Anolis sagrei: one gene and its partners. The protein of the gene in region 1 interacts with the protein of each later gene in a biochemical or structural test. Links are inferred from orthologs where the notes say so. Each region holds a gene or a part of one and is shown on either strand. Other genes may lie near its edges.

What was found.
Region 2: the proteins of ABL1 (region 1) and DOK1 form a complex in vitro, tested with the Homo sapiens proteins (5 studies listed by BioGRID, with this or other methods). The link is inferred for Anolis sagrei from reciprocal best matches to the Homo sapiens genes ABL1 and DOK1.
Region 3: the proteins of ABL1 (region 1) and ERBB3 form a complex in vitro, tested with the Homo sapiens proteins (2 studies listed by BioGRID and IntAct, with this or other methods). The link is inferred for Anolis sagrei from reciprocal best matches to the Homo sapiens genes ABL1 and ERBB3.
Region 4: the proteins of ABL1 (region 1) and PRKN form a complex in vitro, tested with the Homo sapiens proteins (2 studies listed by BioGRID, with this or other methods). The link is inferred for Anolis sagrei from reciprocal best matches to the Homo sapiens genes ABL1 and PRKN.

What each region holds. Positions count from the first base shown.
Region 1 is NC_090031.1:2,821,852-2,830,020, reverse strand, and holds the start of ABL1 (tyrosine-protein kinase ABL1), read left to right. Parts: upstream 1-4,923; 5' UTR 4,924-8,169. Other genes in the region: EXOSC2 (exosome complex component RRP4), read left to right, coding at 1,735-1,815. UniProt on the Homo sapiens protein: Non-receptor tyrosine-protein kinase that plays a role in many key processes linked to cell growth and survival such as cytoskeleton remodeling in response to extracellular stimuli, cell motility and adhesion, receptor endocytosis, autophagy, DNA damage response and apoptosis.
Region 2 is NC_090025.1:3,737,760-3,745,648, forward strand, and holds the start of DOK1 (docking protein 1), read left to right. Parts: upstream 1-4,489; 5' UTR 4,490-4,608; coding exon 4,609-4,677; intron 4,678-7,889. UniProt on the Homo sapiens protein: DOK proteins are enzymatically inert adaptor or scaffolding proteins. They provide a docking platform for the assembly of multimolecular signaling complexes. DOK1 appears to be a negative regulator of the insulin signaling pathway.
Region 3 is NC_090022.1:146,696,857-146,704,703, reverse strand, and holds the start of ERBB3 (receptor tyrosine-protein kinase erbB-3), read right to left. Parts: upstream 3,361-7,847; 5' UTR 3,097-3,360; coding exon 3,012-3,096; intron 1-3,011. UniProt on the Homo sapiens protein: Tyrosine-protein kinase that plays an essential role as cell surface receptor for neuregulins.
Region 4 is NC_090021.1:66,822,807-66,831,157, forward strand, and holds the start of PRKN (E3 ubiquitin-protein ligase parkin), read left to right. Parts: upstream 1-5,027; 5' UTR 5,028-5,253; coding exon 5,254-5,260; intron 5,261-8,351. UniProt on the Homo sapiens protein: Functions within a multiprotein E3 ubiquitin ligase complex, catalyzing the covalent attachment of ubiquitin moieties onto substrate proteins. Substrates include SYT11 and VDAC1.

The DNA of each region.
Region 1 (8,169 bases):
TACCCCGCTACCATCTCCCCAAGGGACTCGGTGCGGCTTACATGAGGCCGAGCCCGAATACAACAGTACAAGCAATAATAACAACAACAACAGTACAAGCAATTAAAATAAAAACATAAACAATAAAATATACAACATTAGCGATAAGACAACACAAAATTAGAAACAGTGGGAAGGCCAAATGTAAAGTTAAAATGCTGGGACATGGACAAAAAGGTGATAGTGGTGTTTGTGGAAGGACAGTATTTATTTATTTACGGTATTTGTATACTGCTTTTCTCACCCCGAAGGGGACTCAAAGCGGTTTCCACATAGGTAATGGCAAAATTCAGTGCCAGCAGAAACAATTACGATTATACAATTACAGTTAGACATACATCAAATTAAAATACATCCATAAACAGTAGAACAATCATTAAAATAGTAAAGGTGGTCCCAGTGTTGATCTGCACACTGGGTGCAGTGCCTAAAGACCTTGGCCTGCACTTAAAAACAATTGGCGCTGACAAGATTGCCATCTGCCACCTGCAAAAGGCCACCTTACTGGGATCTGTACGCATTATTTGCTGATACATCACACAGTCCTAGACACTTGGGAAGTGTCCAACGTGTGATCCAATACAACAGCCAGCAGAGTGTCTGCTGTGGACTCATCTTGTGTTACTACCACTACTACTACTACTAAGAATATATTATAATAAAATTACAATTATTATAATATTTAAAATTATAAATGCGGGCTGAGAGTGGCGGTAAATAAATGCAAATAATAAATAAATAATAAATAAATAAATAAATAATATTTATAATAATAATAATAATAATAATAATAATTGGGTTGTTGTAGGTTTTTTCGGGCTATATGGCCATGGTCTAGAGGCATTCTCTCCTGACGTTTCGCCTGCATCTATGGCAAGCATCCTGGATTCTTGCCATAGATGCAGGCGAAACGTCAGGAGAGAATGCCTCTAGACCATGGCCATATAGCCCGAAAAAACCTACAACAACCCAGTGATTTCGGCCATGAAAGCCTTCGACAATACATAATAATAATTTCTTACCCGTCTCTCAAGCCAGGCTACAGACCAATTAAAACACGTAAACACTTGAAAAACACCTACAAATGCACATATTAAAACATACCTCTATAAAAGCTACACACAAAAACGTATCTATAAAATACATATTAAAATACGCAAAACAGAGAGTAAACAAAGCACACACATTTAAAATCCATCCTTATTTATTTATTTATTTACATTTATATTCTGCCATTCTCACCCCGAAGGAGACTCAGGTGAGATCACAGAACACATACACAGCAAACATTCAATGCCTTTAAACAGAGAGGACAAACAACAGATAGAGGTAGTATGTCGGCATTTTTCCCAACTTCGGCGTCCTGGAGGTTGTGCTTGATTCCGGCCACAGGAGGGTGCTGTCACTCCATCCTCTGTGATGTAGAGCCCTTGATCACAGACTTCCTCCTTCCTTTGATCGCTGGCATTTTCTGGTATTTCCTTTATATCTCCCCACTTAATTTCTCTACTCACAGCTCAGGTGGACAGTAAACTGAAGGTCCAGAGGTCACCCAGACCTGGGCTTCGAACTGCCAACCTTTTGATTGGTAATATCTATTGCTGCTGGTGATTTAACACCTGGCCTAGGTACTTGCCACTCACCTGCACTCCTATTGTGAGATCTGGAATCACTTCTCCGTTCATTCTATTGCAGATCAAGGATCTACTGAAGCCGGAGGTGATGGAGGAGATCGTTTTGGAGACTCGGCAGAGACTGCTGGAACTGGAGGGGTGATGCCTTCAAGAAGACGTTGCCCTTTTCTCCCTTCCTGTGAACGTTGGACTTCTTTTTGGTTATAGATTGTGTCAGATGAAATTCTTTGACGAAGGAAGTTCTTGATGCCGGTTAGAACAAAACGCACACGCCTGGTGGAGAATGATCAACCTCTCCTCGTTCTCATTTCACATCTTCTGGTGTCCTGTCCTTCACCTTGGGCTACCACTCTTGCACATTATAGCCTCCAGACATGGAACTGTGTTGGTTTTATACTTTGGAAGTATTGATTCATTGGTTTAGGTCCCCTCTGTGTTTCTTATTACTCAGGCATGGGCAAACTTCAGCCCTCCCTCTAGGTGTTTTGGACTTCAACTCCCACAATTCCTAACAGCCTCAGACCCCACCTACAAACTATGTGGAGCTTTTGGATCCATGGAGAACAATGGCCCCACCTTGGCACAAATGATGACGTTTGTATCGCTATGGTTGTGTTGTTATGCCAATAAGGCACCCACTTCTGGGAGCATTGCCCATTTAATTTGGGGGATTTATGGTTCCCGCGAACACCCAGTGGCCCTTGAATTTGGAGGATTGTAGCCTCATTAGACAATCCCAAAAAAAGTAAATTGACAATATCCCTACTTTCCTAATGGACCATACATTGATTTGAACCCGGCACATACTCTACTATTACCTTTCCTATGCAGTGGGTATAGCTGAGAGTTTGTATGATATTGCAAACTCTTCTAAAGTCAATTCCAGGTATAACTTAACTATATGGTAGGTATTTTTAAAATATTTTTTTTCTGTATTGGAAGTACTTAAATGCAGCCCAGTAAATTGTTTTTAAGAAAACACCCAAAATGAAAAGATCTCATTTTGTTGGGTTTTTTTCGCTAAGGGAAAAAAAATGTTGTGTCTTTGCTTTTTTCTTGCTGGTTCTGCAGGTAACTCTTCGCATTAGTGGGAAGAGAAGAGAGAAAGAAGAAAAGACAAGAGGGAAAGAAAGAAGGACAAAGGGGTGGAAGGGAATGGAGGGAGGGAGGGAAGGAAGGAGGAAAGAAGGAAGGAAAAAGGGGAAGGAAGGAAGGAAGGACAAAGGGGTGCAACGCAATGGAGGGAGGAAGGGAGAAAGACAGACGAAAGCATGGAAGAGAATGGAGGGAGAGAGGGAAGGGGGAAAGAAGGAAGGACAAAAGGGAAGGAAGGACAAAAGGGGGGAAGGGAATGGATGGAGAGAGGGAGCGAAGGAAGGGAAGGGAGAAAGAAGGGAAGGGAGAGAGGGAAGGAAGGAGGAAAGGGTGGAAGGGAATGGAGGGAGAGGGAGGGAAGGGAGAAAGAAGGAAACAAGGGAAGGAAGGATAGAAGGAAGCAGCTGGCGCACGAGCCTGAGCTGTGCAAATGCTCCCCTGGTCACCGCTGAGACCTGGGGCTCCAGGCTTAACGATGAGTCCAGGATCACACCCAAGCTGCGAACCTGCGCCTTCAAGGGGAGTTTACTCCTCTCCACACTCGCATGTCGTGGATTCCACTTTGTGGCCCCATTTCTGAAGGTTGGCTCTGCATCTCGTGGTGCCAGAGCGCAGTCTGTTCAGCGCCTTCCACGTCGCCCAGTCCTCTGTGTGCCCAGGGGGGAGTCTCTCATTGGGTATCAGCCATTGAATGAGGTTCTGGGTTTGAGCCTGCCACTTTTGGACTCTCACTTGCTGGGGTGTTCCAGTGAGTGTCTCTGTAGATCTTGATTAAAGACGTTGACATGCTGGCTGATACCCAAACAGGGGATGAGCTGGAGATGTCACTGCCTTGGTCCTTTCACTATTGGCTGCTCCTTCCCGGCGGATGTCAGGTGGTGCGATACCGGCCAAACAGTGTAATTTCTCCAGTGGTGTAGGACACAGACACCCCGTGATAATGCGGCATGTCTCATTCAGAGCCACATCCAGTATTTAGCGTGGTGAGATGTGTTCCACACCAGGCGTGCATACTCAGCAGCAGAATAGCACAGCGCAAGGGCAGATGCCTTCACTGTGCCTGGTTGTGATCCCCAGGTTGTGCCAGTCAGTTTTTGCATGATATTGTTTCTAGCGCCCACTTTTTGCTTGCTGTTCAGGCTGTGCTTCTTGTAGGTCAGAGAACGGTCCAGAGTGACTCCCAGGTATTTGGGTGTGCTGCAATGCTCCAGTGGGATTCCTTCCTTCCCAGGTAATCATCCTCAGAGCTCGGGATGCTTCTCTGTTCTTGAGATGAAAGGCACATGTCTGTGTTTTAGATGGGTTGGGGATCAGCTGGTTTTCCCTGTAATAGGCAGTAAGAGCACCTAAAGCTTCTGTTCAACTATGTCAAAGCTCCCTGCTTGAGCGGTGATGGCACGATCATCAGCATAGATGAAACTCTCTGTCCCTTCTGGCAGTGGCTGATAATGTTTGTACATATTGAACATGGATGGAGCAAGCTTCGGAGAGGCAGTAAGAGCGCCTAGAGCTTCGGAGAGCTTCTATTCAACCATCTCAAAGCTCCCTGCTTGAGCGGTGATGGCACGATCATCAGCATAGATGAAACTCTCTGTCCCTTCTGGCAGTGGCTGATAATATCTGTACATATTGAACATGGATGGAGCAAGCTTTGGAGAGGCAGTAAGAGTGCCTAGAGCTTCGGAGAGCTTCTGTTCAACCATCTCAAAGCTCCCTGCTTGAGCGGTGATGGCACGATCATCAGCATAGATGAAACTCAGTCCCTTCTGGCAGTGGATGGACTGGATGATGGCCCATCAGGTCTCTTCCAACTCTAGGATTCTATGATTCCATTTTTGCCCCTCGTGAGGTGATTTAGAAGCCACTTTTTTCATTTTTGTGTGTGGGAAAAATCCCCTATTCCCTGCTAAATGAAGGAAGGCGTGGTATATCCAGAGTGTGAGGCTGGGATACCTGGCCCTTTCCTGAGGCGAGGCTTCCCACAGGTGTGTTTGCCCTGTGAGGAAGCGCCCCTCCCAAAATGGCGCCCCTTTCCTTCCACCCACACCCCCAAAAGGCTAGGCCCGGGAGGCTGGGGACTCTCCTGGGAGGCTTCCCCGGGCTGCTGCTCCTCCCCTCGCGGCGAGGAAGGGGCGGAGAAGGGGGCGGGCGAGAGAGAGAGGAGGCAGGCCGGCTCCCTTCCCTTCCCAACATGGCGGCGGGGCGCGCTGAGGAGGCGCCGAGCAGGGCCGCTTCCTAGGCCCCCTCCTCTCCATTAGTACGCCTCTCTCGCGCCTTCCTTTCCTCTCAGACTCTCCCCTCTCCCTCCTCCTCTAGTTAGTCCTCCTTCCTGCATTTCTTTCCCTTCTTTTCCCTCACCCTCTTCTCTCCAATCTTTCACTTCCTTCCTCATCTATTTTGGGTTTTTTGCCAGTGGGTCAGGTGTGCCTTTCTTTCCTTCACCCACCCCCTCACTCTTCCTTGATTCTGACTCCATTCTCCTCATTTTGGGGAGAGTTTTTGTGAGGGGAAATCTGCACTGCATTCCCTCACTTTTCCCTTCTTGTCCCCTTTTTGTGGTGGGCTTTTGTGAGGAGAAATCTGCATTGCATTCCCTCATTTTTTCTGGGGGTGTTTGTGCCTTTCTTCCCCTCTTCCACCCCTCACTCTTCCTTCTTGATTCTTACTCCATTTGCCTCATTTTGGGGAGAGTTTTTGTGAGGGGAAATCTGCATTGCATTCCCTCACTTTTCCCTTCTTGTCCCCTTCTTGTGGTGGGCTTTTGTGAGGGGAAATCTGCATTGCATTCCCTCACTTTTCTGGGGGTGGTTTGTGCCTTTCTTCCCCTCTTCCACCCCTCACTCTTCTTCCTTGATTCTTACTCCACTCTCCTCATTTTGGGGAGAGTTTTTGTGAGGGGAAATCTGCATTGCATTCCCCCACTTTTCCCTTCTTGTACCCCTTTTGTGGTGGGTTTTTGTGAGGGGAAATCTGCATTGCATTCCCTCACTTTTCCTTTCTTGTTCCCTTTTTGTGGAGGGTTTTTGTGAGAGGAAATCTGCATTGCATTCCCTCACTTTTCCTTTCTTGTTCCCTTTTTGTGGAGGGTTTTTGTGAGAGGAAATCTGCATTGCATTCCCTCACTTTTCCTTTCTTGTTCCCTTTTTGTGGAGGGTTTTTGTGAGGGGAAATCTGCATTGCATTCCCTCACTTTTCCCTTCTTACTCCCTTTTTTATTGTCGGCTTTTGTGAGGGGAAATCTGCATTGCATTCCCTCACTTTTCTGGGGGTGTTTGTGCCTTTCTTCCCCTCTTCCACCCCTCACTCTTCTTTCTTGATTCTTGCTCCACTCTCCTGCTTTACATCCTAATTTTGGCCTGGGGTTCTTTCTCCATTCTCCTCATTTTGGGGTGGGTTGTTGTGAGGGGGAGATCTGGTCTCATTCCCTCACTTTCCCCTTCTTGTTCCCTTTTTTATTGTCGGCTTTTGTGAGGGGAAATCTGCATTGCATTCCCTCACTTTTTCCTTCTTGCTCCCTTTTTGTTGGGGGCATTTGTGAGGGGAAATCTGCATTGCTTTCCCTCACTTTTCCCTTCTTGTCCCCCTTTTGAGGTGGGTTTGTGTGAGGGGAAATCTGCATTGCATTCCCTCACTTTTCTGGGGGTGTTTGTGCCTTTCTTCCCCTCTTCCACCCCTCACTCTTCTTTCTTGATTCTTGCTCCACTCTCCTGCTTTACATCTTCATTTTGGGGTGGGATTCCTTCTCCATTCTCCTCATTTTGGGGTGGGTTATTGTGAGGGGGAGACCTGGTTTCATTCTCTCACTTTTCTCTTCTTATTCCCTTTTTGTTGTGGGTTTTTGTGAGGGGAAATCTGTGTTGCATCCCCTCACTTTTCTGGGTGTGCGTGTGTGCCTTTCTACATTGCATTTCTCATTTTTCTGGTGGTGTTTGTGCCTTTCTTCCCTTCTTCCACCCCTCACTCTTCTTTCTTGATTCTTACTCCATTCTCCTCATTTTGGGGTGGATTGTGAGGGGGAGATCTGGTTTCATTCCCTCACTTTCCCCTTCTTGCTCCCTTTTTGTTGTGGGCTTTTGTGAGGGGAAATCTGTGTTGCATCCCCTCACTTTTCTGGGTGTGTGTGCCTTTATTCCCCTCTTCCACCCATCACTCTTCTTTCTCGAGTCTTACTCCACTCTCCTGCTTTACATCTTCATTTTGGGGTGGGATTTTCTGAGGGTGGCATCTGCATTGCATTCCCTCACTTTTCTGGAGGTGCTTGTGCCTTTCTTCCCCTCTTTCCCTCCCTCACTCTTCTTTCTTGATTCTTACTCCATTCTTCTCATTTTGGGGAGGGTTATTGTGAGGGGAACATCTGCATTGCTTTCCCTCACTTTTCCCTTCTTATTCCCTATTTTATTGTGGGCTTTTGTGAGGGGAAATCTGCGTTGCATTCCCTCACTTTTCTGGGGTTTTTTTTGTACCTTTCTTCCCCTCTTCCACCCCTCAGTCTTATTTCTTGATTCTTGCTCTACTCTCATGGTTTACATCTCCAATTTGGGGTGGCATCTGCATTGCTTTCCCTCACTTTTCTCACTCTCTTATTTATTTATTTTTGTATTAATCTCCGCATTTTCCCCCACACACCCCCTTCGTTCCCCCCAACCTGTTTCCTAATTCTTCACCTTCTTAATATCTCCCTTTTTTCCCTCCTCAAAACTGTTTGAAATATTAAATATTTGGGCTTTATGTGAAGGGCAGGACCTGTGCATTTCTTTCCTTTTCCTTTCTTCCTCTCCATTATTTATTTGGCCATTTCTTTCCCTCAGTTCTTCGCCTTCTTTATTATCCCCCACTTTCCCTACTCATATTATTTAAATATTATTTTTGAGTGTATGTATGTGAGGGAGTTTTTCTTTCCTTCCTTCACCTACTTGAATTCTTGTCTTTCCCCCCAAAATCACCCTCTTCTTTAGTAGCCTTATTCTTTTCCTCCTTACTAAGTTTGACGTTCATTTTGGGGATTTGTATGTTTCTTTCCCTCACTTCCCTTTCTTCTCCCTATTAGTATTATTATTATATTGTCCTTTGTTGAGGGAACCTGCACAATCCTTTCCTTCATGTTTTGCTCTTCTTTTTCACTCCGTTTTTTACATTCTTTCAAAGTCAGTCTTCACTAGCCCCTCACAACTATTGATACTAAATTTGAGATGAGCGGTGTATTTTCACCCTTCTTTCATCGTATTTTCTTCCACTCAACCCAAGCAAACTATCTCCATCTTTCCTGCTAGTATTCTTGTTGCTATTTCTACTTTTTTGGGGGTCCTCTTCTCTCCAGAGATTTATTTACTTCTTACCAAATAAGTGTCAATTATTTTCAGTCGCCTTATCTTCACACACTCACAGGCCTTCTTGAAAGTGT
Region 2 (7,889 bases), on another chromosome or scaffold:
GCCTGATCTGACAAGATTTTCTACAGGCAAACCTTAAATCCCAAAAACTGGTTTCGTCTTCCCCCAGGCTCTGACCTTAACTGATGAATTCTTTTTATCAAAAAGTTCATGAAAGCCTCTGGAAGCTTGCGAAGAATCCATGGAAAGTTCCTAAGTCCATTAAAGTTTATACAAGTTTTTATAAAGTTCATGAAAGTTTATAAGAACTCATAAGAGTTCATGGGGGGGGGGGGGTACATGGAAGTTCAGGGGAGCACTGAATAGTCAGACTCCATTCATAAAAACAGGAGGAGAGATAGGGGATTATGGGATCAATTCAGCCTGGTGTCCTTGGCAAAACTACAAATTCCCTGATTATGAGCTATCTTTTACAGAGTCTTGGAAGGGAAGGGGGGGGGGGGTCACCTCTGATCACAAAGTGATCATACCATCATAGAATCCAAGAGTTGGAAGAGACCTCATGGGCCTTCCAGTCCAACCCCATTCTGCCAAGAAGCAGGAATATTGCATTCAAAGCACCCCTGACAGATGGCCATCCAGCCTCTGCTTAAAAGCTTCCAAAGAAGCAGCCTCCACCACACTCCGGGGCAGAGAGTTCCACTGCTGAACGGCTCTCACAGTCAGGAAGTCCTTCCTCGTGTTCAGATGGAATCTCCTCTCTTGTAGTTTGAAGCCATTGTTCCTTTGCGTCCTAGTCTCCAGGACAGCAGAAAGGAAGCTTGCTCCTCCTCCCTGTGGCTTCCTCTCACATATTTATACATGGCCCTTATCATGTCTTCTCCCAGCCTTCTCTTCTTCAGGCTAAACATGCCCAGCTCCTTAAGCCGCTCCTCATAGGGCTTGTTCTCCAGACCCTTGATCATTTTAGTCGCTCTCCTCTGGACACATTCCAGCTTGTCAATATCTCTCTTGAATTGTGGTGCCCAGAACTGGACACAATATTCCAGGTGTGGTCTAACCAAGGCGGAATAGAGGTAGCATTACTAGCATGTGATTGTTACATTCAGGCCAGTATTTTCAAAGGCCAGTTTGCTAACTCTGTACTGTAGCTTCATTGCCACATTCCTTATTGTGATGTTATGCAACCACATTCCCTGGTTTTGGAAGAGGGGTGTGTGTATGCCTCTGTGTGTGTGTGTATGTGTGTGTGTGTTCAAGAGCCAGGGAGCCATTGCACCAGATGTTTTTCTTCTCCCGTCAGCGGTCAAGGAAGAGGCCCGATCCCCATCCCTTCCAAATGCACAGCAGGGAATGTGTTCTGGGCCCTGTTTCTTGGGAAAAGGGGGGGGGGGAATGGTTCACAGCTTGCTTCTCGATTGATGGCCAGCTGCCTGGGGAGCGAAAACAAGAGCCAGGAGCTGCCAAGGCTCTTCTGCGGAGAGAAAGGGGATGACAAAGAGAAGAGGGACAAATTCTGGGAAAGGGAATGTTTTGCATTAGTGGATCACTGTGTCAAATTAAATGTGTTGAATTAAAGCTTCCAAACCAGGCACGGGCCAACTTCGGCCCTCCCTCCAAGTGCTTACTGAAGACGTAGCCCACTGTTTAACATCTGTTGGGCCATTTGGATAGAACGGCAAAACATCCGTAATTTGGGTTGCTGTGAGTTTTCCGGGCTGCCTGGCCATGTCCCAGAAGCATTCTCTCCTGACGTTTTGCCCTCATCTATGGCAGGCATCCTCAGAGATTGTGAGGTCTGTTGCAAACTACGCAAGTGAAGTTTATATATTTATTTGTTTATTGTAGTCTCGAAGGCTTTCATGGCCGGAATCACTGGGTTGTTATAGGTTTTTTCGGGCTATATGGCCATGTTCTAGAGGCATTCTCTCCTGACGTTTCGCCTGCATCTATGGCAAGCATCCTCAGAAGTAGTGAGGTCTGTTGGAACTAGGAAAATGGGTTTATATATCTGTGGAATAATGCCCAGGGTGGGACAAAGAACTCTTGTCTGTTGGAGCTAGGTGTGACTGTTTCAACAGACCACCTTGATTAGCATTTGATTGCCTGGCAGTGCCTGGAGCAATCTTTTGTTGAGAGGTGATTAGATGTCCTTGTTTGTTTCCTCTCTGTTGTTGTGCTGTTGTAATTTCAGAGTTTTTTAATACTGGTAGCCAGATTTTGTTCATTTTCATGGTTTCCTCCTTTCTGTTGAAATTGTCCACATGCTTATGGATTTCAATTGCTTCTCTGTGTAGTCTGATATGGTGGTTGTGAGAGTGGTCCAGCATTTCTTTGTCCAGGTTGGTTCCTCAGGTGCTCTGCTATGGCTGATTTCTCTGGTTGAGGGAGTCTGCAGTGCCTTTCATGTTCCTTGATGCGTGTTTGGGAAATGCTGCTGCGTTTGGTGGTCCCTCTGTAGACTTGTCCACAGAAGCATGGTATCCGGTAGACTGATGCAGAGGTGAGAGGGTCCCTCTTGTCCTTTGCTGATCCCTCTTTGTCTTTTGCACTTTCATAGAATCATAGAATCAAAGAGTTCGAAGAGACCTCCTGGGCCATCCAGTCCAACCCCATTCTGCCAAGAAGCAGGAATATTGCATTCAAATCACCCCTGACAGATGGCCATCCAGCCTCTGTTTAAAAGCTTCCAAAGAAGGAGCCTCCACCACACTCCCTCCGGGGCAGAGAGTTCCACTGCTGAACGGCTCTCACAGTCAGCAGTTCACTACTATTGGAGAATTGCAAAAACTGCAAAACAAACCTCTATACAATTATTATTATTATTATTATTATTATTATTATACTCAACAGGTTCCTGGACCATCTGAACAGCATCCACCCAAACATCCAGTTCACTATGGAAAAAGAAAATGAAGGAAGACTGCCTTTCCTAGATGTCCTAGTCATCCGCAAACCAGATCAACAATTGGGTCACACTGTCTACAGAAAACCCACACACACAGATAGATATCTACATAAAAACTCCAACCATCACCCAAGTCAAAAAAGAAGCACCATCAAAGCCTTGGCAGACCGTGCCAAAAGAATCTGCGAAGCCCACCTCCTCCAAGAGGAACAGAACCACCTCAACTGGGCTCTCCAGGCCAATGGAGACTCCACCTCAGACATCAGAAGAGCGGCAAGACAACCGAGAAGAAGCCACGAGAGTCAAGATGAAGATCCACCCAGAGGAAAAGTGTTCCTGCCAGACATCAAGGGAACCACTGACCACAGAGGGAAGCTGATGAGGAAACACAACATACAAACAATCTACAAACCCACCAAGAAAATCCAACCAATGCTCCGTTCAGCAAAGGACAAGAGGGATCCTCTCACTTCTGCAGGAGTCTACCGTGTACCATGCAGCTGTGGACAAGTCTCCATCGGGACTACCAAACGCAGCAGCATTGCAGACTAGGTCAACCAGAGAAGTCAGCCATAGCAGAGCACCTGAGGAACCAGCCTGGACACAGCAGATTGAGAACACAGAAATGCTGGACCACTCTCACAACCACCATGCCAGGCTATACAGAGAAGCCATTGAAATCCACAAAAAGCATGTGGACAATTTCAACAGAAAGGAGGAAACCATGAAAATGAACAAAATCTGGCTACCAGTATTAAAAAACTCTAAAATTACAACAGCAAAACAGCAGAGAGGAAACAACCAGGCACATCTTAACACCTCTCAACAAAAGGTTTTCCCAGGCTCAGGCAGGCCTTCACATGGTAATGAAGGTAATCAGCTGAAACATTCACACCTAGCTCCAGCAGAGAAGAGCTCTTTGCCCCACCCCAGCCATTCCACAGATATCTAAACCCATTTTCCTAGTTCCAACAGACCTCACACCTCTGAGGATGCTTGCCATAGATGCAGGTGAAACGTCAGGAGAGAATGCCTCTAGAACATGGCCCTATAGCCTGAAAAAACCTACAACAACCCAGAGATTCTGGCCATGAAAAGCCTTCGACAATACATTATTATTATTATTATTATTATTATTATTATTATTATTATTATCCCAATCTGATGGCCATTCTTGTGCTTTCCATATTTGCTGGATTATGCCATGCAGCACCTATGAAACATAAATAAGAGCATATATACAAAGAACCCCATTGGCTGGCGAGTGCCCACTGGTGGGCAGCCTTCATAATTGCAAAAGCTCCCTCCAAAAAAGTTCTTCCTGCGCATGCGCCACAACTACCCCCCCCGCCCCCCCAAATACCTGTCCTCACCTGCCAAGCTTCCTTTTCTTGGAGGGAGGGGTGGGTTTTCCCCTCGTTAAGCTCAGGCACTAAAGCAACTTGGGCCCTCCCTATCTCCCTCCCTCCAGGTGTTTTGGACTCCAACTCCCACCATTCCTAACAGCCTACCGGCTGTTAGGAATGGTGGGAGTTGGAGTCCAAAACACCTGGAGGGAGGGCCCAGGCTTGCACCAAAGCGTCCCAGGCACTCTGCACATGCCCAGAGGCGCCCTGTGTGTGTGTGTGTCCAGTGACGCGCCTGGAGGGAGGGGGGGAGGAAGCCCCTCCCCTTCCGAAGAGGCTCTCTGGGGCGGGGCGGCTCCTGCTTCCGATTCCACCCGCGGGAGTGGCTGGTGTGGCTGCTACAGTGTGTCTGTCTTCCCGGTGCCTTGCTCGCTCTCTCTCTCTCTCTCTCCGGATATGGACCCCCCGGTGAAAGCCGGGACCCTCCTGGTCCAGCAAACGGCGGGACTCCGCCTGGGCGCCAAGGTCAGAGGAAGAGGAAGGAGGAGGAGGAAGAGTTGGGGAAAAGTTAGGAAAGTTTGGAGTTAGGAGAGTTAGGAGAGGGGGAGGAGGAAGACCTAGAGGTGCTTTCTGCCAAACTTAGGGAGAGGAAAGGGAGGAGGAGGAAGGAGAAGAGGAAAAGGAGGAGGAAGAGGAAGAGTTGGGGAAGTTTTGTGCTCAAGTTAGGGAGAGGAAGAGGAGGAGGAAGAGGAAGAGCTGGAGGTGTTTTCTGCCAAACTTAGGGAGAGGAAATAGAGGAGGAGGAAGAGTTGGGGAAGTTTTGTGCCCAAGTTAGGGAGGGGAAGAGGAGGAGAAAGGAAAAGGAGGAGGAAGAGCTGGAGGTGTTTTCTGCCAAACTTAGGGAGAGGAAATGGAGGAGGAGGAGGAAGAGGAAAAGGAGGAGGAAGAGTTGGGGAAGTTTGGTGCCCAAGTTAGGGAGGGGAAGAGGAGGAGAAAGGAAAAGGAGGAGGAAGAGCTGGAGGTGTTTTCTGCCAAACTTAGGGAGAGGAAATGGAGGAGGAGGAGGAAGAGGAAAAGGAGGAGGAAGAGTTGGGGAAGTTTGGTGCCCAAGTTAGGGAGGGGAAGAGGAGGAGAAAGGAAAAGGAGGAGGAAGAGCTGGAGGTGTTTTCTGCCAAACTTAGGGAGAGGAAATGGAGGAGGAGGAGGAAGAGGAAAAGGAGGAGGAAGAGTTGGGGAAGTTTGGTGCCCAAGTTAGGGAGGGGAAGAGGAGGAGAAAGGAAAAGGAGGAGGAAGAGCTGGAGGTGTTTTCTGCCAAACTTAGGGAGAGGAAATGGAGGAGGAGGAGGAAGAGGAAAAGGAGGAGGAAGAGTTGGGGAAGTTTGGTGCCCAAGTTAGGGAGGGGAAGAGGAGGAGAAAGGAAAAGGAGGAGGAAGAGCTGGAGGTGTTTTCTGCCAAACTTAGGGAGAGGAAATGGAGGAGGAGGAGGAAGAGGAAAAGGAGGAGGAAGAGTTGGGGAAGTTTGGTGCCCAAGTTAGGGAGGGGAAGAGGAGGAGAAAGGAAAAGGAGGAGGAAGAGCTGGAGGTGTTTTCTGCCAAACTTAGGGAGAGGAAATGGAGGAGGAGGAGGAAGAGGAAAAGGAGGAGGAAGAGTTGGGGAAGTTTGGTGCCCAAGTTAGGGAGGGGAAGAGGAGGAGAAAGGAAAAGGAGGAGGAAGAGCTGGAGGTGTTTTCTGCCAAACTTAGGGAGAGGAAATGGAGGAGGAGGAGGAAGAGGAAAAGGAGGAGGAAGAGTTGGGGAAGTTTGGTGCTCAAGTTAGGAAGAGGAGGAGGAAGAGGAAAAGGAAGAGTTGGGGAAGTTTGGTGCTCAAGTTAGGAAGAGGAGGAGGAGGAGAAAGAGGAAAAGGAAGAGTTGGGGAAGTTTGGTGCTCAAGTTAGGAAGAGGAGGAGGAGGAGAAAGAGGAAAAGGAAGAGTTGGGGAAGTTTGGTGCTCAAGTTAGGAAGAGGAGGAAGAAGAGGAAAAGGTGGAGGAAGACCTAGAGGTGTTTTCTGCCAAACTTAGGGAGAGGAAAGGGAGGAGGAAGAAGAAGAGGAAAAGGAGGAGGAAGAGTTGGGAAGTTTGGTGCCCAAGTTAGGAGAGGAGGAGGAGGAAGGGGAGGAGGAAGACCTAGAGGTGCTTTCTGCCAAACTTAGGGAGAGGAAAGGGAGGAGGAGGGAGGAGAAGAGGAAAAGGAAGAGTTGGGGAAGTTTGGTGCCCAAGTTAGAGGAGGAGGAGGAGGAGGAAGACCTAGAGGTGCTTTCTGCCAAACTTAGGGAGAGGAAAGGGAGAAGAGGAAAAGGAGGAGGAAGAGTTGGGGAAGTTTGGTGCCCAAGTTAGGGAGAGGAGGAAGAAGGGGAGGAAAGGGAGGAGAAAGCGTTGGGAAAGTTTTCGGATAAAGTTAGGAAGAGTGAGAGGAGGAAGAAGGAGAGGGAGGAAGAGGAGGAGGAAGAGTTGGGGAAGTTTTCTTCTGCTGTTAGGAAGAAGAGGAGAAAGGAGGGGAGGAAGAGAAGGAGGAGAAAGAGCTGGAGGTGTTTCCTTCCAAACTTAGGGAGAGGAGGCAGAAGAAGAAAAGGAGGAAGAGTTGAGGAAGTTTTCTTCTGATGATAGGAAGAAGAGCAGAAAGGAGGGGAGGAGGAGGAAGAGCTGGAGGTGTTTCCTGCCAAATTTAGGAAGAGGAAAGGGAGGAGGAAGGGTTGGGGAATTTTTATCCCAAAGTTAGGGAGAGGAAGAAGAAGAGGAGGAGGAGGAAGAGTTGGGGAAGTTTTGTGCCCAAGTTAGGGAGAGGAGGAGGAGGAAGAAGAGGAGGAAGAGGAAGAGCTGGAGGTGTTTTCTACCAGACTTAGGGAGATGAAAGGAAGGAGGAAAGGGAGGAAATGTTTGGGAAGTTTTTTGCTAAAGTGAGGAAGAGGATGGAGGAAGAGGAGGAAAAGTTAGGGAAGTTTTGTGCCAAAGTTAGGGCAAGAAGGAGGAGGAAGAAGAAGAGGAAGAGGAAGAGGAGGAAAAACTGGAGGTGTTTTCTGCCAAACTTAGGGAGAGAAAAGGGAGGAATATGGGGAGGAAAGGGAGAAAGCATTGGGGAAGTTTTCTGCTAAAGTTAGGAAAAGTGAGAGGAGGAAGAAGGAGAAGAAGTGGAGGAGGAAGAGCTGGGGAAGCTTTATGCCCAAGTTAGAGAGAGGAAGAGAAAGAAGGAGAGGAGGAAGAATTGGGGAAGTTTTCTGCTAAAGTTGGGAAGAGGAGGAAGAGGAAGAAGTACAGAAAGAGGAAGGAGGGGATGAAGAGGCGGATGAGGAGAGGAAGTTCTAATCTGAATTTTGCCAAAGTTGGGGAGAGGAGGAGGAGGAGGAAGAGCTGGAGGTGTTTCCTGCCAAATTTAGGGAGAGGAGGAGGAGGAACAAGAAGAGGAAGGAGAGGAAGAGCTGGGGAATTTTTATGCCGGAGTTAGGGAGAGGAGGAAGGGGAGAAAGAGGAGAGCTGGAGGTGTTTCCTGTCAAACTTAGGGAGAGGAGGAGGAGGAGGAGGAAGAGTTAAGGAAGTTTTCTTCTGAAGTTAGAAAGAGGAGGAAGAAGAGGAGAAGGGGGGGGGGAGAAGAGGAGGAGGAAGAGTTGTAGGTGTTTTCTGCCAAACTTAGGGAGAGGAGGAGGAGTGGGAAGAGTTGGGGAAGATTTCTGCTGAAGTTAGGAAGAGGAGGAAGAAGAGGAGGGG
Region 3 (7,847 bases), on another chromosome or scaffold:
CAACTCCCACAATTCCTAACAACCTCAGGCCCCTTCCTTTTCCCTTTCCCTTTCCTTTATGCTTAAGTGGCTGAGGAGGAAAAGGAAGGGGCATGAAGCTGTTAGGAATTGTGGGAGTTGAAGTCCAAAACACCTGGAGGGTCAGAGTTTGTCCATGACGGGTCTACACTGTTGAATTAATGCAGTTGGAGACCACCTGAACTGCCGAGGCTCCAAGCTATGGGATCCCGGGAGTTGTCATTTGGGGAGGCAGAGAAGATGAAAGACCTTGTAAAACTTCAGTTCCTATGGCCCCTTCCTTCTACACTGCCATATAATCCAGATTATGAAATCAGATAATCTACATTATTTGCTTTGAACCAGATTATCTGAGTCTACACTGCCATATAATCCAGTTCAAAGCAGATAATCTGGATTTTATATGTCAGTGTAGAAGGGGCCCAAGGACCCTTCCACACAGCTGTGGAAAATCCAATTTGTTCTGGAATATATGGAAGTGTGGACTCGGGGCCCTACCATACAGCCATGTAACCCAGAATATCAAGGCAGGAAATCCCACAATATCTGAGTGTAGACTCAGGGCCCTTCCACGCAGCCCTAAAACCCAGAATATAACAGCAGAAAACCCCACATTATCTGAGTGTAGACTCAAATAACTCAGTTCAAAACAGATATTGTGGGATTTTCTGCCCTGATATCCTTTGGCACCAAAACATAGGGCTGTGTGGAAGGGCCCTGAGTCCACATTGCCACAAATCCCAGTACAAAGCAGATAATGTGGGGTTTTATTCAGCTGTGTGAAAGGGGCCTCAGATAACCCAGTTCAAAGCAGGTATTGTGGGATTTTCTGCCTTGATATCCTGGGATAGAGTGCTGCATGGAAGGGCCCTGAGTCTACATTGCCATAAATCCCAGTACAAAGCAGATAAGGTGGGGTTTTATTCAGCTGTGTGGAAGGGCTTCAGATAACCCAGTTCAAAGCAGATGGCTGTGTGGAAGGGCCCTGAGGATCCTTCCACATAGTCCTATAGCCCTGAACATCAAGGCAGAAAATCCCGCAATATCTACTTTGAACTGGTCATCTGAGGCCCCTTCCACACAGCTGAATAAAATCCCACATTTTCTGCTTTGAACTGGAATATATGGCAGTGTGGACTCAGACAACTCAGTTCAAGGCAGATATTGTGCTATTTTTTGCCTTGATATCCTGGGATATAGGGCTGTGTGGAAGGGCCCTGAGTCCACACTCAGATAATGTGGGATGTTCTGCCTTGACATTCTGGGTTGCATGACTGTGAGGAAGGGCCCTGAGTGCCTGGTTGGGAAGAGACCCCGGGGATTCTGGGCTTTGTCTTTTCAAGGGACAGAGCAGCAAGTCCCAACAGATGCGCCTCCCGGGTCAGGGGTGGGATGGAGGGGTTCCAGCCTTGGCCCTCCTCTATCACAGCCTCAACAGGTGCCCTTTGAGAACTGAACCAAAAGCCTTCCGAAAGACAGGCAGGCAGGCAGGCAGGCAGACTCCACAGGCAGGCAGACTCCACCCGCAGGCAGAGAGCTGCAAAGCTGGCGGAACAAGATCTCATGGATTCCTAAAAGTTTGCCTTGGAAGTTTCTGCTGCGGGTTTTGGGGGGGGGGGGGGTGCGAGAAAACATGCTCGCAGTCACACATGCCACGCCTTCTAATTTATTTATTTCCAGTATTTCTATCCCATTCCTTCTCAACCCCCAAAGGGGAACTCGGGACAGCTTACATTTGGCAGCAATTTGATACCACTACATATAGCACAGCAATATAATCACAATTCAAACAATAAGTAAAACATTCATTAAAACAGCATAAAAAAGTATGAACAGCCATAACATAATTCCAGCCAATTCCATATCCAAAGTGCCATGACTTCAATTTCTTCCTAAATGACAGGAGGGATGGAGCTGATCTTACCTCAGTGGGAAGCAAGTTACACAGGCAGGGGGCCACAGTGAGAAGGCCCTGTCCCTCATCCTCGCCAGACATATTTGTGATGCTGGCAGGAGCGAGAGCAGGGCCTTCCTGGATGATCTTACCTCAGTGGGAAGCGAGTTCTATGGGCAGGGGGCCACAGCCAAGAAGGCCCTGTCTCTCGTCCCTGCCAGACATATTTGTGACGATGGCAGGAACGAGAGCAGGAGCCCCCGGGATGATCTTACCTCAGTGGGAAGCGAGTTCCACAGGCGGGGGGCCACAGCCAAGAAGGCCCTGTCTCTCGTCCCTGCCAGACATATTTGTGACGATGGCAGGAATGAGAGCAGGAGCCCCCGGGATGATTTTACCTCAGTGGGAAGCAAGTTCCACAGGCGGGGGGCCACAGCCGAGAAGGCCCTGTCTCTCGTCCCCGCCTGACGTATTTGCGACACTGGTGGGAGCGAGAGCAGGGCCTCTCCGGATGATCTTAAATTGCGAGGCAGGACGTAGAGGGAGATGTGTTCAGACAAGTAAGCTGGGTCAAGTAGGTCAAAACCAGCAGAGGATGCTTGCCATAGATGCAGGCGAAACGTCAGGAGAGAATGCCTCTAGAACATGGCCATATAGCCCGAAAAAAACCTACAACAACCCAGTGATTCCGGCCATGAAAGCCTTCGACAATACTTTGAATTGAGCTGGGAAGTGGACCGCCAGCCAGTGGAGCTGACACAACAAGGGGGTGGTCTGCTCCCTTCTAACCCTCGGAGGGCATCTGCCCCAATGCTGAATGAACGCACTTAAGGCTCCAATTAAACTCCCCTTAGTGTTAATTCGACCATACAGATGGACAATCGAGTCCAAAGCCGTCACGTTTGAGCGAAACCTAGGATCAACCGAAAGTAGAGAGAGAGATAGACACAGAGAGAGACTCAAACACCTGGTCTCGGATTTCCAGGAAGAGCAAGACCAAAACCAAAACCAGTCCTGCCCTGATCAACGCGCCCGCGGTGAAAATAGATCTTAAATGAACATCCATACACTTGTTGTTGTTGTTGTTGTGTGGTCTTACCTGCTTGAGAGGCGGCGGGCAGCAGGAACCCCGCGAGAGAAAGCAGCCCCAGGAGGAGACCTGGCCCCGGGAGGCTCTGCCTCATGGCTGAACGGGGATTGGGACTCTTTCAGGTGCTGCCTCCGCTTTCCTTCCGCATAGGCGGCTCTTTCCTCCTCTTTCGGGATGAACAAGAGTCCGGAGCCACTTGATCCCCGAGGAAAAGGTCTCAGTCGGCCATCGCCGCCTCCTCCTCCCTCTCTTCTTCTTCTGTTTCTTTTTCTTTGGGGCCGGATCTCTTTCTGGCCCCCAGATCCCGCTCAGCGCACAGACTTTGATCCGCTCCCCTTTACGCACCACAACTCACTAATTGCACACACTTCATTCAAGGGGAAGCCGAGCTCGCGCCTCATTGGCTGGGACTGCGCCGCGCTCTGACCAATCAGAGGGAAGCCAGAGGGAGCTCCAGAATCCAGGAATGGAAAGAGAGTGTGTGTCATAGAAAAAACCTACAACAATCCAGTGTCATAGAATCTATCTATCTATCATCTATCTGTCTGTCTGTCTGTCTGTCTGTCTGTCTGTCTGTCTGTCTGTCTGTCTGTCTGTCTATCTATCTATCTATCTATCTATCTATCTACCTACCTACCTATCTAAAATGTAATGTTCGTTTGTGGGATTAACATAACTCAAAAACCACTGGACGAATTGCCGCCAAATTTGGACACAAGACACCTACTAACCCAAATAGTGACCATCACTCAAAATAATTGATTTTGTCATTAAGGAGTTGTAGTTGCTGGGATTTATAGTTCACCTACAATCAGAGCATTCTGAACTCCACCAATGATGAAACTGAACCAAACTTGGCACACAGAACTCCCACGACCAACAGAAAAAATTGGGAGGGTTTGGTGGGCACTGACTTTGAGTTTGGGAGTTGTAGTTCACCTACATCCAGAGAGCACTCTGGACTCAAACAATGCTGGATCTGGACCAAACTTGACATGAACATTCCATATGCCCAAATGTGAACACTGGTGGAGTTTGGAGGAAATAGACCTTGACATTTGGGAGTTGTAGTTACTGGGATTTATAGTTCACCTACAATCAAATAACATTCTGACTCCCACCAACGACAGAATTGGGCCAAACCTCCTACACAGAACCCCCATGATCAACAGAAAATACTTAAGGCCATCCAGTCCCTTCACCAAGGCAAGAAAACGTAATGAAATCCCTCCTGAGAAAGAGCCATCCAGCCATAGATATAGATAGATATATATGATTCACACACACATATAGTCTCGTAGATTTGAAAGGGACCCCTAAAGAAGGACAATGATATGTTGCATTTTCTAGAGGAGGCAAACCAGGCCATCTCCACATCAACACTGACAAAGAAACAGCAAGAAATAAAGAAATACTGTCTACCCACAAGCACAAAAATATTACAAGTATTTCTCTTTACTTTTCCAGATCACCAGACTGGGCCACAGCAATGTGTGGCAGGAGACTGCTAGTCATAGAATATCAGAGTTGGAAGAGACCTCGTGGGCCATCCAGTCCAACCCCATTGTATCACAAAATCACAAGTCGAAGCGTCTAGGGCTGTGTGATGTATTTTCAAAGATGTGTGCAGATCCAAGTAAGGTAGCCTTTTGCAGTTGACAAATCGTGATTTTGTCGATGATGATGATGACGACGACGACGATGATGATGATGATGATGATGATTATTATTATTATTATTATTATTATGCTTTTATTGTGTGTTTCTGCATGGCACCCGGTTGGACTGGATGGCCCCTGTGATCTTTTGCATTATTATTATTATTATTATTATTATTATTATTTGTATCTTGCTGTTCTTCCAGGACTTAAACTCAGAATAGCTCTCAGCCTTAGAAACTACACAGTTTGAAAACCTACAAAATACAAATATTAAAATAGAATTAAATATTGTAATTATTAAAACAATAAACCTGTTAAAATGATTCCAGAGGTTGTGAGGTCTGTTGAAAACTAGAGAAGTGGGGTTTAGTTTCCAATCACACCTCTGAGGATGCCTGCCATAGATGTGAGAGAAACATCAGGAGAGAGTGCTTCTGGAACATGGCCATACAGCCCAGAAAACTCACAGCAACCCAGTGATTCCGGCCATGAAAGCCTTCCAACAAACCATTATGACACAAATGTTTATATATAAAATAATCTACCCAACAATCTGACCTTCTGGCCACTTTATGGGTTTCCCTAAAACGCTGTTATGATGACAGCCTGAATTTTGGCATTTACCATTATACTGGCATGAAAACAGCAGGAGTCTGTCAACACCTCAAACTACATTTAGAGCAGATGAGGCTAAACTACACTTCCCAGGACTCTATCACTCTTAGTTTAAAAACAAGAGAAGACTCTCGTACCTTTAATGATTGTACAGATGAGCGAATTTCATGCAGAGGCAACATCTGTTGAAACTCCCTCCATCTCCATTTCTAAGCTGAAGAGCCGGCCTTGTCCGTAGACACCTCCAAGGTCATGTGGCCAGCACATTTACATGTTTTCAAACTGCTAGGTTGACAGGAGCTGGGGCTTACAGTGGGAGTTCACATCGCTCCCTGGATTCAAACCTGCAACCTTTTGATCAGCAAGTTCAGCAGCTCAGCAGCTTAAACCACTGTGCCACCGGGGGCTCCAACCATAGTCTGTGAGTATATACCAGAGTAGGCAAGGAAGCAGGAGGATAACAATCAAGGCTGAACCATGAAGTGTGAACCACAAAGCCACAACTATTTGGGGGAAAGGAAGTTCTCTACGCTTCATTGAGGTTAATGTGGAGAGTTTGGACATTTGTTAGCAGTGCTTGATTTTTTTTTCAAAGGGTGAATGATGTCTGTATCGGAGCAGAAAGATGTCTAACTTCTCTGTTGCTCTCAAGCTGAAACTCAATACATATTTATTTAGAAGCAAGTCCCACTATGTTCACTTGAGTAGACATGGATAGGATTCCACTGGCTAAAGCCTAAAAGAGCTTCTTGCCACAGCTGTTCGTACCAAAGTGCAGAACATGTTTTGAAAATTAAACAGAGCTATGTTTCTAATTGTTTGCATCAAACTGAAATATGTGAAAGCAGTGCACCAGCAACAGGGATACAGTTAACGTTAATTTACAAGTAAATTACGAATGCAGAGCAATAAGAAACATTCATGAATTATTTCCTAACCCTAACACTACTGAAATGTTTGTTTTCCTACAACTCCTCAAAGGGAAATAAATTGTAGTACATAAGCAGAGGGGAAACTGAATGCTGTCCAAGGCAATGGAATACTTCAACACTTTATTTATATTCTTCTTTATGTCTTCGGAGGGACTCAGAGCAGACTACTGTATACACATATAAGGCAAACATTCAATGCCTTTTACCCAGTGAACAACAACGACATACAATACACAGACACAGGTAAAAGTTTTTCCTTTTCATTTCCAGCGTCTGGAAGCGATGCTCAACTCCAACCATGGGGAGGTGCTCTTGTTCCATTTTTCCATGCCAAGGAGCCTGTTGTCCGTAGACATCTCTAATTGTGTTTTGCCGGCGCCCTTTTACCTTCCCACATGCTTTTGAACTGTTAGGTTGGCAGAAGCTAGGGCTGACAGCAGGAGCTCACCCCGACTTGCGGCTTCAAACTGCCAACTCTCCAGTCAGCAGATTTCTTGCAGCTAGCTGTTTAACCCGCTGCGCTACTGTGGCCCCATAGTATTAGCTGAGTACTATGGGTGCATCTATACTGTAGAATAATTCAACTGTACATCACTTTAGTTCAATGCTATGGAATCTTGGGATTTGTAGCTTGATGAGTATCAAGTGTCCTGAAATGTGTTCAGTCCCAGAATTTTGGAGTCACTAAAGCAGGCATGGGCAAACTTGGGCCGTCCAGGTGTTTTGGACTTCAACTCCTACAATTCCTAACAGCCGGTAGGGAGTTGAAGTCCAAAACACCTGGACGGCCCAAGTTCGCCCATGCCTGCCCTAAGACCTTTATTCTCTTTTAAAAACAACCTTCAAGTTGAGACCCATTCCTCATTGTGGCCACCTTGAAGTCCTGCCTAGGCACTGATCCGGAGATCAAAAACTCAACCCACTGTTGTCCACCCTGTTTCTTAAAACCTTGCTGCGTTTTAACCCCTGCTTTCTCTCCACTCCACCCAGAGAGTGAGTCACACACAGGAAACGGGTGACACAAAAGAGGAAAAGGTTACCTTGACCTAATTAGGACCTTGGGCTCTCCTTCAGCCCAGAATTCAGTCTAAACAAGCCTCACAGAAGATGCCAGGCAGGCAAGGAAGGTGTCAGTGGCCCTCCAGATGCTATTAAGATGCAACGCCTATCATCCACCACCATCTGCGATGCTGATCTGGTCCAACATCCAAAGGGCCACAAATTGCCACTGGTTTAAGAGGCATCATTATTTTATAAGACATTTAAGTGTTCACGTTTTTTGAATAGTCTTGTACTCATAAGCTTTGGGGTTCCTCCCTTTTGCTTCGCCCAGTCTTTCCCAAATAGTTTCCAGTCTATTTTCCTGTTCTACCTTCTTGTAATTCTTCCTTCCCAACTACCTTATGTTTTTGTTCTAATATAGTACACAGAGCTAGGACACAAGGAAACATTCTCTCCCTGTTAAAATATTATAATAACCACCCTTGCCAATTGGAATGTAGCTCCTTAGGATGGGATTGGGAATGAGACAGGAAAGGCACCTGTGGCCACCCTCTGGCGCCCCCCTGTGGTTATAAACTGGAATTACCATCCTAAAGTCAACATCCTAAAAATAGTCAAAATTACTGCAACATACT
Region 4 (8,351 bases), on another chromosome or scaffold:
GTTGGTATAGATGGGGCTTAGCTTTTTGGTGGTGACATCTTTGTCAGACAGGAGAAGAAATGACATCTTTGATTCGATGTCCTCCTGAGGCAGCAGCCTAACATTTTCAGGAATCAACTCATCCTGAAAAGCTTTGGCAAGAATTCTTGCCCTAACAGCAAGCTTGGCCGCTTCCTTGGCCTTTTCAGTTATATTTCTTTTGCTTTGTAAAGCTGATAGCTGGGCTTCCATTTCAGCTTGCTGTATAGCCTGCTTAGCTTCTAGTTGAGAGAAATCTAGCTCCTTCACAGCCATAGCCGATTCAGCTTCTGCCTGCAATATTTGCGCCTTGAGCTTCATCCTCTCAACTTCTTTGAAATGTTGAGCTGCCACAGAAGAAATCTTACTGTGGGAAGATGAGGCACTTTTGCTGGAATGTACACTGGAATGTGAACGGTGGCTAAGTGATCTGACACTTAGGGGACGCTGAGGGTAGAAACCCTTGCTGGACTTGGGGCTTCTAGGAGGGGATAAAGAGTAAGCCTCCCTCAGCTGAAATTCCTGAAGCTGAAACTGTGCAGCTTCAAGCACGGCATTAAATTCTCTTTCTTTACTTTGATAGTCCAATGACAATGCTTGCAGTCTTGCTTGGGCATCATCATCATTGATGTTTGTAAGGACTTGTTGTTGCCTTTCTATACTAATTTTCCAGAGTAAAAAACTATCCTGGAGCTCTTCTTTGTGCACTGCTATTACCTCAGGGTCTCTGGAGGCTGACAAGGTGTTCATGCTATACTGCACGTGTTTCCAAGCACTTTCTGCCTTCACAATTAAATGACTTTCCCTTTCTAGCAACAGCTGTAGGGCCTTCTCTGTGGGGTGCCTAACCCTATGTGAACGGGAAATGTGTACATGTCTGTCTGCACTTCCATCAGAAAGCCCATCCATTCTTGTTGTATGCTGGTTGCTGAGGCAACAACTCTATGTGGGTGAAGAGGACTGAGTGTGAGGCAAAATGTTCACACAGCCTACTGTCACCACCTATACTATAACAGCAAAACAACAATTTACTGGAATAGGTATAAGAGTCTTCTAACTCCTTTTCCTCAGAAAAATGCCAGAACAGGCGCCAAAACACCTTTTCCCGCTCTTTCTACACTATCAGCACAAAATCCCATAGAAATCTATGTATACTGGTGAAGGCAAAATGGCCGCCGCTTCTTTTTGAGGGGACAATAAGGCTGTCACAGTTCTGATGTTACTATAATAGGATGAACACAAAATGGCTGCCAAACTGTAAAAAACCCCTTTTGGCGCCAAATGCCCCCTTAAGACAAATAGCAGGTGCTAGCTTTGCCCTTTTCACTCTCTGACAGGAAACAAGCCTCCAATGTCTTTTAAAAGGGCAGGCAGGCAGCTTTTTTACTTTAAAAGCTGCCCCTAACTCTCCTTACTATAAAAGTATTCAATTTAGCAACACTTCACCCAAGTATTCCTATAACTTTGTTACACTTTCCAATGGAAAAGTGGAAACAGTGCCTTTTTCTCTCACACACCCTGAGGGAGAGGGCTCTCTCTTTTCTTTCTATAAGCGATCCGAATCGGCCACAAGGCCGATCAGGCTCCCAATCACTATGTAAACAGTGCTTTTTCTTCTCTCACACCCCCTTTGCAGGGAGTGGGCTCTCTCTTATAACTTTCTATAAGCAATTTGAATCGGCTACAAGCCGATCAGGATCCTAATCACTGTGATGGCACACCAGGGAGATCTAATGAAAAACCCAAATGTGTCTGGCTATTTTCCCAGTGACCATCGATATGCCCTAATTACTATAATTCCCCCAAAATAAAACTCTATAAACAAGATTAAGTTTAACCAAATTGAGTTTACTAAACAAACAAGATGAATTACAACAATGTACAAAGGTGAAGATTAATTATGATGGTATAACTGAGGTAAATATAACTATACACTATGGGGGATGATGTAACTATCTATCTATGACAAATATTATCTATCCTTTATTACATATATTATCTATAAACTATCTATCTAACTATCTATAACTATTCTATGGCAAATACAACTATCTACGAACTATCTATTATAAACTTTAGGGCAAATACTATCTATAAGGCAAATACGTGTTATAAACTTTAAGGCAAATACGGCTATAACTATTCTATGTATATTACTATTTATCTATAAGCTTTGGCAAATACGTGATTAGGATGGCCTGTTCAAATTGCTTGGCCAGACCAGACACTATCTGGCAACTATCTATAAGCTAAGACTGACAAAGAATGGGAAACGAAGTTCTATAACCAGCCCATTCTGGCTCTGAGTCAGAATGGGCTGCACCAACCGAACTCGGCCTCTAGGGGAACCTAAGCTCTCCCCTAAACTTGGTAAAATGGAACAGTCCAACTGAGAAATAAACAGGCCGAGACATCACAGTGCCATTTTGATCTCTCTGGGGCCGGTATTCCAAAGCATTTCAAGCTGCATTATATGGCAGTGTAGATCCAGCCTTTTTCTTCCATGGCTATATACTGTGGCATCATGGAAGTTGTAGCTGCAGGTCTTCAGACTTCTCTGCCAAAGAGCACGGGTTCTCCATCAAACTACAGCCTTCCAGATTACCTTGCATTGAGCCATGGCATTAAAGTGGTGCCAGACTGCATTAATTCTACAATGTGTTGATGCAGCCCATCTTAGGACCTAAGGCTAAACACAAAATCCATGTATATGTCATATACACCTGTTGAGTTTTATTAATCTTATATATAACTGTCTAAGGTTCTCAAAAGCATTCATTTTGATTCTTCATCATCCTGTATCCCGGTTTACATCATCATAAGACTCTGAGCTATAGTCAAACTATTTGCATTGAATTTAGACTATAGAATAGATGGAGAAACCAGGGAAAAATAATTAAACACTTGAACATAGTGAGATATAAATATTCAATAGTATTCTCATACGTTTGTATTATGTAAAGAGAAATCAAGGGTGGAGATTCACGGGTGGAAATGAGGAGGTCGTGGGACTGAGGAAATAATACTTGTATTTCAATTGTTTCTATGTATGTATACATATTAAAAATAAAAAAATCTTAAAAAATATACACCTGTTGAAAGTGCAGTATGCTTTAAAGAACTGATTATTATATATGTACACAAGATGAATATAACCAAACATACCAAAACAATTGCATTTTGCCTTCTGCTTCTTTTCCTTTCACTAGTATATTGTTTTAAATTTTGATACAAGAAAATTACACTTTAAAAGTTCATTGCAAAGGCATTCAAATATTTTAGAAGTAAGAACTAGGTTGCATAATTTTCCCCCAATTTTTAGGCACCCTGATTAAAATTATCATCTGTAGGTCTAATGCACTCACAAATGCTTTCATTATTCTAATTTAGTACATGTTTTGCATTCATCCTTTATTTGTTCTTGAGGCTGACTTCTGGAGAGTAAATCTCTCATTGCTGCCTATAAATATAGTCACTGACCTTCTCTCCCTTGCTGTCTAACATCACTTTTTATATTTACACATTTGCTAAACTTGGGGACCAAAGAGAATGTGCTTTTTTCTCTCTTGCAAAGTGTGTTCCTATAAATAATGGACAGGGGGATGAATGATCAATACAAGACAATAAATGGTTAACAGTTCAACAATCTCCACAGAGTTGCTGTGAGTTTTCTGGTCTGTATGGCATTTTGCCGAGACGTCTATGGCAGGCATCCTCAGAGGTTGTGTGGTCTGTCAGAAATTAGCCAGATTGAGGTTTATATATCTGTGGGGCTGGGGGTGGTAACAGCGGACAGGGAGCTCTGGCGAAGGCTGGTCCATGAAGAATCGGTCCATGGAAGTGACTGAATGAATAAACAACAACATATCTGTGGAATGCCCAGGGTGGGGGGAAAAACTCTTCTTTGTTTGAAGCAAGTGTGAATGTTGCAGTTGGCCACCTTGATTATCATTTAATGGCCTTGCACCTCTGAGGATGCCTGCCAAAGATGTGGGTGAAATGTCAGGAGAGAACGCTCTGAAACACGGCCATACAGCCTGGAAAACTCACAACAACCCAGTGATTTTGGCCATGAAAGCCTTTGACAACTCAGTATCCACAGAAATGTATGTATTGTTTAATGGTAGCCATGCAGAATATTTTAAGGCGAAATAAATATACCCATACTGAAGAAGAGTTGTTATAATGATTGAGGATGCATCTGCACAGTTGAATTAATGCAGTTTGACACCACTTTACCTGCCACAGCACAATGCTAGGAAATCCTGGGATTTTTAGTTTAGGCAGGCACCAGCTTTCTTAGGCAAAGAAAGCTAAAGACCTTGTAAAATTACAGATACCACCACTCAATAGTATGCTATAGAGCTGGCATGGAAAAACTCTGGCCCTCTGGGTGTTTTGGACTTCAACTCCCACAATACCTAACAGCCTCAGCCACTTTCCTTTTTTACTAGTTAACGTGGCGTGACTCTGCATAAATTCAACAGTGTAGATGCATTCTTAGTCACCTACAAATTCCACCTGAAATTACAATTTTGTGTAAGGTGTTCAAATGACACCAGTGAGCAGCAATGCAATCACTGATCACATGGTCGAAGCACAGAATTGCAAACGTTGCATAAACGTTTTGCTTTGATTTTGGCAATATATTTATGTATATGTGTGTGTGTGAATATATATATATATATATATATATATACACACTGAAATATTACTTTTTAAAGGTATATACATTTTTGGTAAAATGTTTTTTTTTAAATCCACAAATGTTATAAAAACAGACTTCTACAACTGGAAGACAACACAAGAGACAATCCCCAAGGCTGGTGCAACATTGTGAAAATAGATAAGATTGAAACATAAGTTGCTAAGGATGTATAGAAAGCAACCTCTCCCCTCCTTTCCTTCTATTGAACAGGGCCAAGCAAGAGGCTGCTGTCTCCACGCGCCGTGACGTCACCCACAGGCGGGGGGGGGAGGTAGCTCTGGTCACGTGACACACACCCTTACCTACACACACTACTCATTGAATTCAGTAGCTGGAAGAGGTGAAGGCGCGGGCAAGGCGGCGAGAACTACGTTTCCCAGAAAGCACTGCGAGGTTCCCCGCCCCGCCCCCGCCAGCATTGCGTCTAAAGTCCGGCCGGCCTGCAGGGAGCGTAGTCTTCAGAAGGTTCAGACTTGAGTGGCGGAAAGGACGGGGGTTGAGAGCGCCCCCTTCTCCCACCGCTGGCAATGATAGGTGAGTGGGACCCGGATGCAGCGTGTGTTTCCCCCTCCCCGTCCCCTTCATTGGCTCTCTCCTAACAGAAGGAGGGGGATCTCAGGGAAGCAGAGGCTGGTCTGCTCCAAAATACTTTTCTCATGTTGAATAATCTAAAACACTTAATTCCTAGGCGCACATACAGGGTGTTCCTCAAAATTGTATACACTTTTAGCAGATCATAATTCTATTTTTGGCATTCCCCTCCCCCCCAAGTATACCCCTTTAACAGCTTGGAATTTTGGGATTTCTTTGCATTTTTAGAGCCAAAATATATGTCACTTTAACAACTTGCAATTTTGGATATTTTTTTTACCCTTTTCCCCCCAAAAAACATCTATTCCCTTAACAGTTTATAATTCTGGATTTCTTTTTCATTTTTTACAAAGAGATGTACAGCCTTTAACAGTTTACAATTATAGATTTATTCCAACTTCCTTATAAAACATACATTCTGAAAAGTCTAATTCCAGTTCTTTTTTTTTTCCTTTGGCAATCCCCTTCCCAACATTTTAAAAAAATTCTCTGCCACCCCTACCCCAAATATATAAAAGATCCCAATACAGGTTGTCCCTGAGTTACAAACATTCGACTTACAAATAACTTGTAGTTAAGAAAGGGGCTGAGAACAGAAAGTGAGAGAAATCTACCCCTAGAAAGGGAAAATCACTCCTGAAATTTTTGAAAAACATACATATACAGATAACTGTGAGCAACAGGATCATAGATAAATATATTGCTAGAGAAGACTTGAAGAAGGTTGTCATTTCCAACATGAAAGAGTCATCATGGGGAAAGGGAGTCTCCACTGAAGCTTTCTCACCAATCCTTGTTTCCACAACAAACCAAATGATCCAAAATCCAATGGCCACAGAGACAGAAAGGGAGGGAAATCTTCTGAACAGGGACACAGATAGTAAAACAAACTCCACAGGATTGTTAACCCTTCTCTATATTACCCATCTATACACACACACACACATATACATACACACACATATATATATATTATATATGTATTTATAACATTTTCTCACCCGGGAGGGGACTCAAAGCGGTTTTCACATAGGTAATGGCAAAATTAAATGCCAGCACAAACAATTACAATTATACAATTACAGTTAGACATAAATCAAATTAAAATACATCCATATACACACTCTACACAAACGCACATGCACAGCTGGAATTACACTTTAAAAATGTACCTGTTCCAATTTGTAACTTGGGCACTGTAGAAAGGTGTTGTGCAATTATAAACAAAACATTAAGGGAAGTTGGCAGCAATGTACTTTACAATGTGAACAGTTGAATGGCTGCACAGGAATGACAAATTTGAACATATTACCATACAGTGGTAATAAATCATTATTGTAATGTTTATACGTCAATATAAAGATATTTCCTTAGCCATAAAGCAGTCATAATTACTAACTGTGAAAAGTTGTCTACATTTGGGGAGGGGCTATCAATCTATGTATACACACACACCACTTTGCCAATTCTACAGGATTCCAATATTATTTAGGTGCCTAAATATAGTCAGCAATCCATATCCACAAATTCTGCATTTGCAGATTTGACCAGCCATGGCTTGAAAATATTAAAAACAAAAGACATGTATGGGACACAACTTTACTGTATATAATAGGACTTGATCCAAGCCCTAGTGGAGACCACGGGCTCATTGTAATCTAAAGGCACCCAAACACATCTGATCTTAGAGGCTAAGTAGGGTCAGGCCTGATTAGTACTTGGACAGCAGATCATCAACAAATACCAACAACTGTAATCTGTACCAATATTTCAGAAGAAGGAATGGACAAACCCACTTCTGAGTACTCCTTGCCTATGAAAACAGTATGTTATTCATAAGTTGATTAAAAGCAGCATACACATAAGTGGTAATGTATACAGTATTGCCTTAGGCTCTATTCAGAGGAAAGCAATGGAAAACGCTATAAAATTTATGGGATTTCCATAAGTTTACAGGCAACACACACAAAGATATCCAGGTATCTCCAGATACTGCACTGTTCAACTTAAGGGAATGTATCTTATGAAGAAAAACCTTTTCTTTTCATTTTCAAAGTAGAATATCCCAATACACTGCAGCCCTCAAGCTTTCTGATGCTACTGCTTCTTCTGTGCTGGCAGCACAGCTGCTTTTATTAGAGGCCTGCAGATAATCTACAGGTGATGGGGATGAAGAATCGATACATACCAACCCTGTTTCCCTTCCTAGGCCCATAGGACAATCAGTTTAATTATTTGGAAATATTTTGTTGATCAGGGCTTCTTAAACCTTTTCCTCTCACAACCTTTTTAACGTAAGATATTTTTATATGAGCAAGTAGGTATATAAATAGGCATACAAATCAATCTTTTACTGATAAGAAATCAATATCTGCATGGCTTTCTAAACAGAATGATTTTCTTGTTTCTGGAGTATAGCTGAAGCATTTTCTGCAGAGTCCACTGTAAACACTGCACATTGTTGTTAACAGAGTTGCAGAAATGAATGGCATCCAGCAACCTTCTACTGTTGCCAATTTTTCCTGACCCCAACATTGAGCAAAGGGGATCCCGTTTGGGGTCAAGACCTATAATTTAAGAAGCAGTGTTCTAGATTATCGGATCTGCCTTTTAGCTGCATTTTGTTTCAATCCAATAGGTGGGCCTTCATGAATCACATATAAATGATGTGACTAAAAGCCCTTCCACACAGTCCTATATCCCAGAATATAAGAGCAGAAAATCCCATGTTATCAACTTTGAACTGGGTTATACGGCAATGTGAACTCAGATAACCTAGTTCAAAGCAGATATTGTGGATTATCTGCTTTGATATTCTGGATTATATGGCTGTGTGGAAGGGTCCCAAGACAATAAATATCATACCAATACTGGAAAAGAGTAGAGAGGAGAGAAAGCCCCTTCGTCTGAGCAGCAGGGCTATGTGAGTGAAAGGCGGCTGTGGTTTGCCAGTTGCCTCTTCTCATTTTGTTCTTTTGGAGGGTTGTCTGTAATGATTTCTTGGATCTGCACAAGGATTCTGTCAAATACGTTC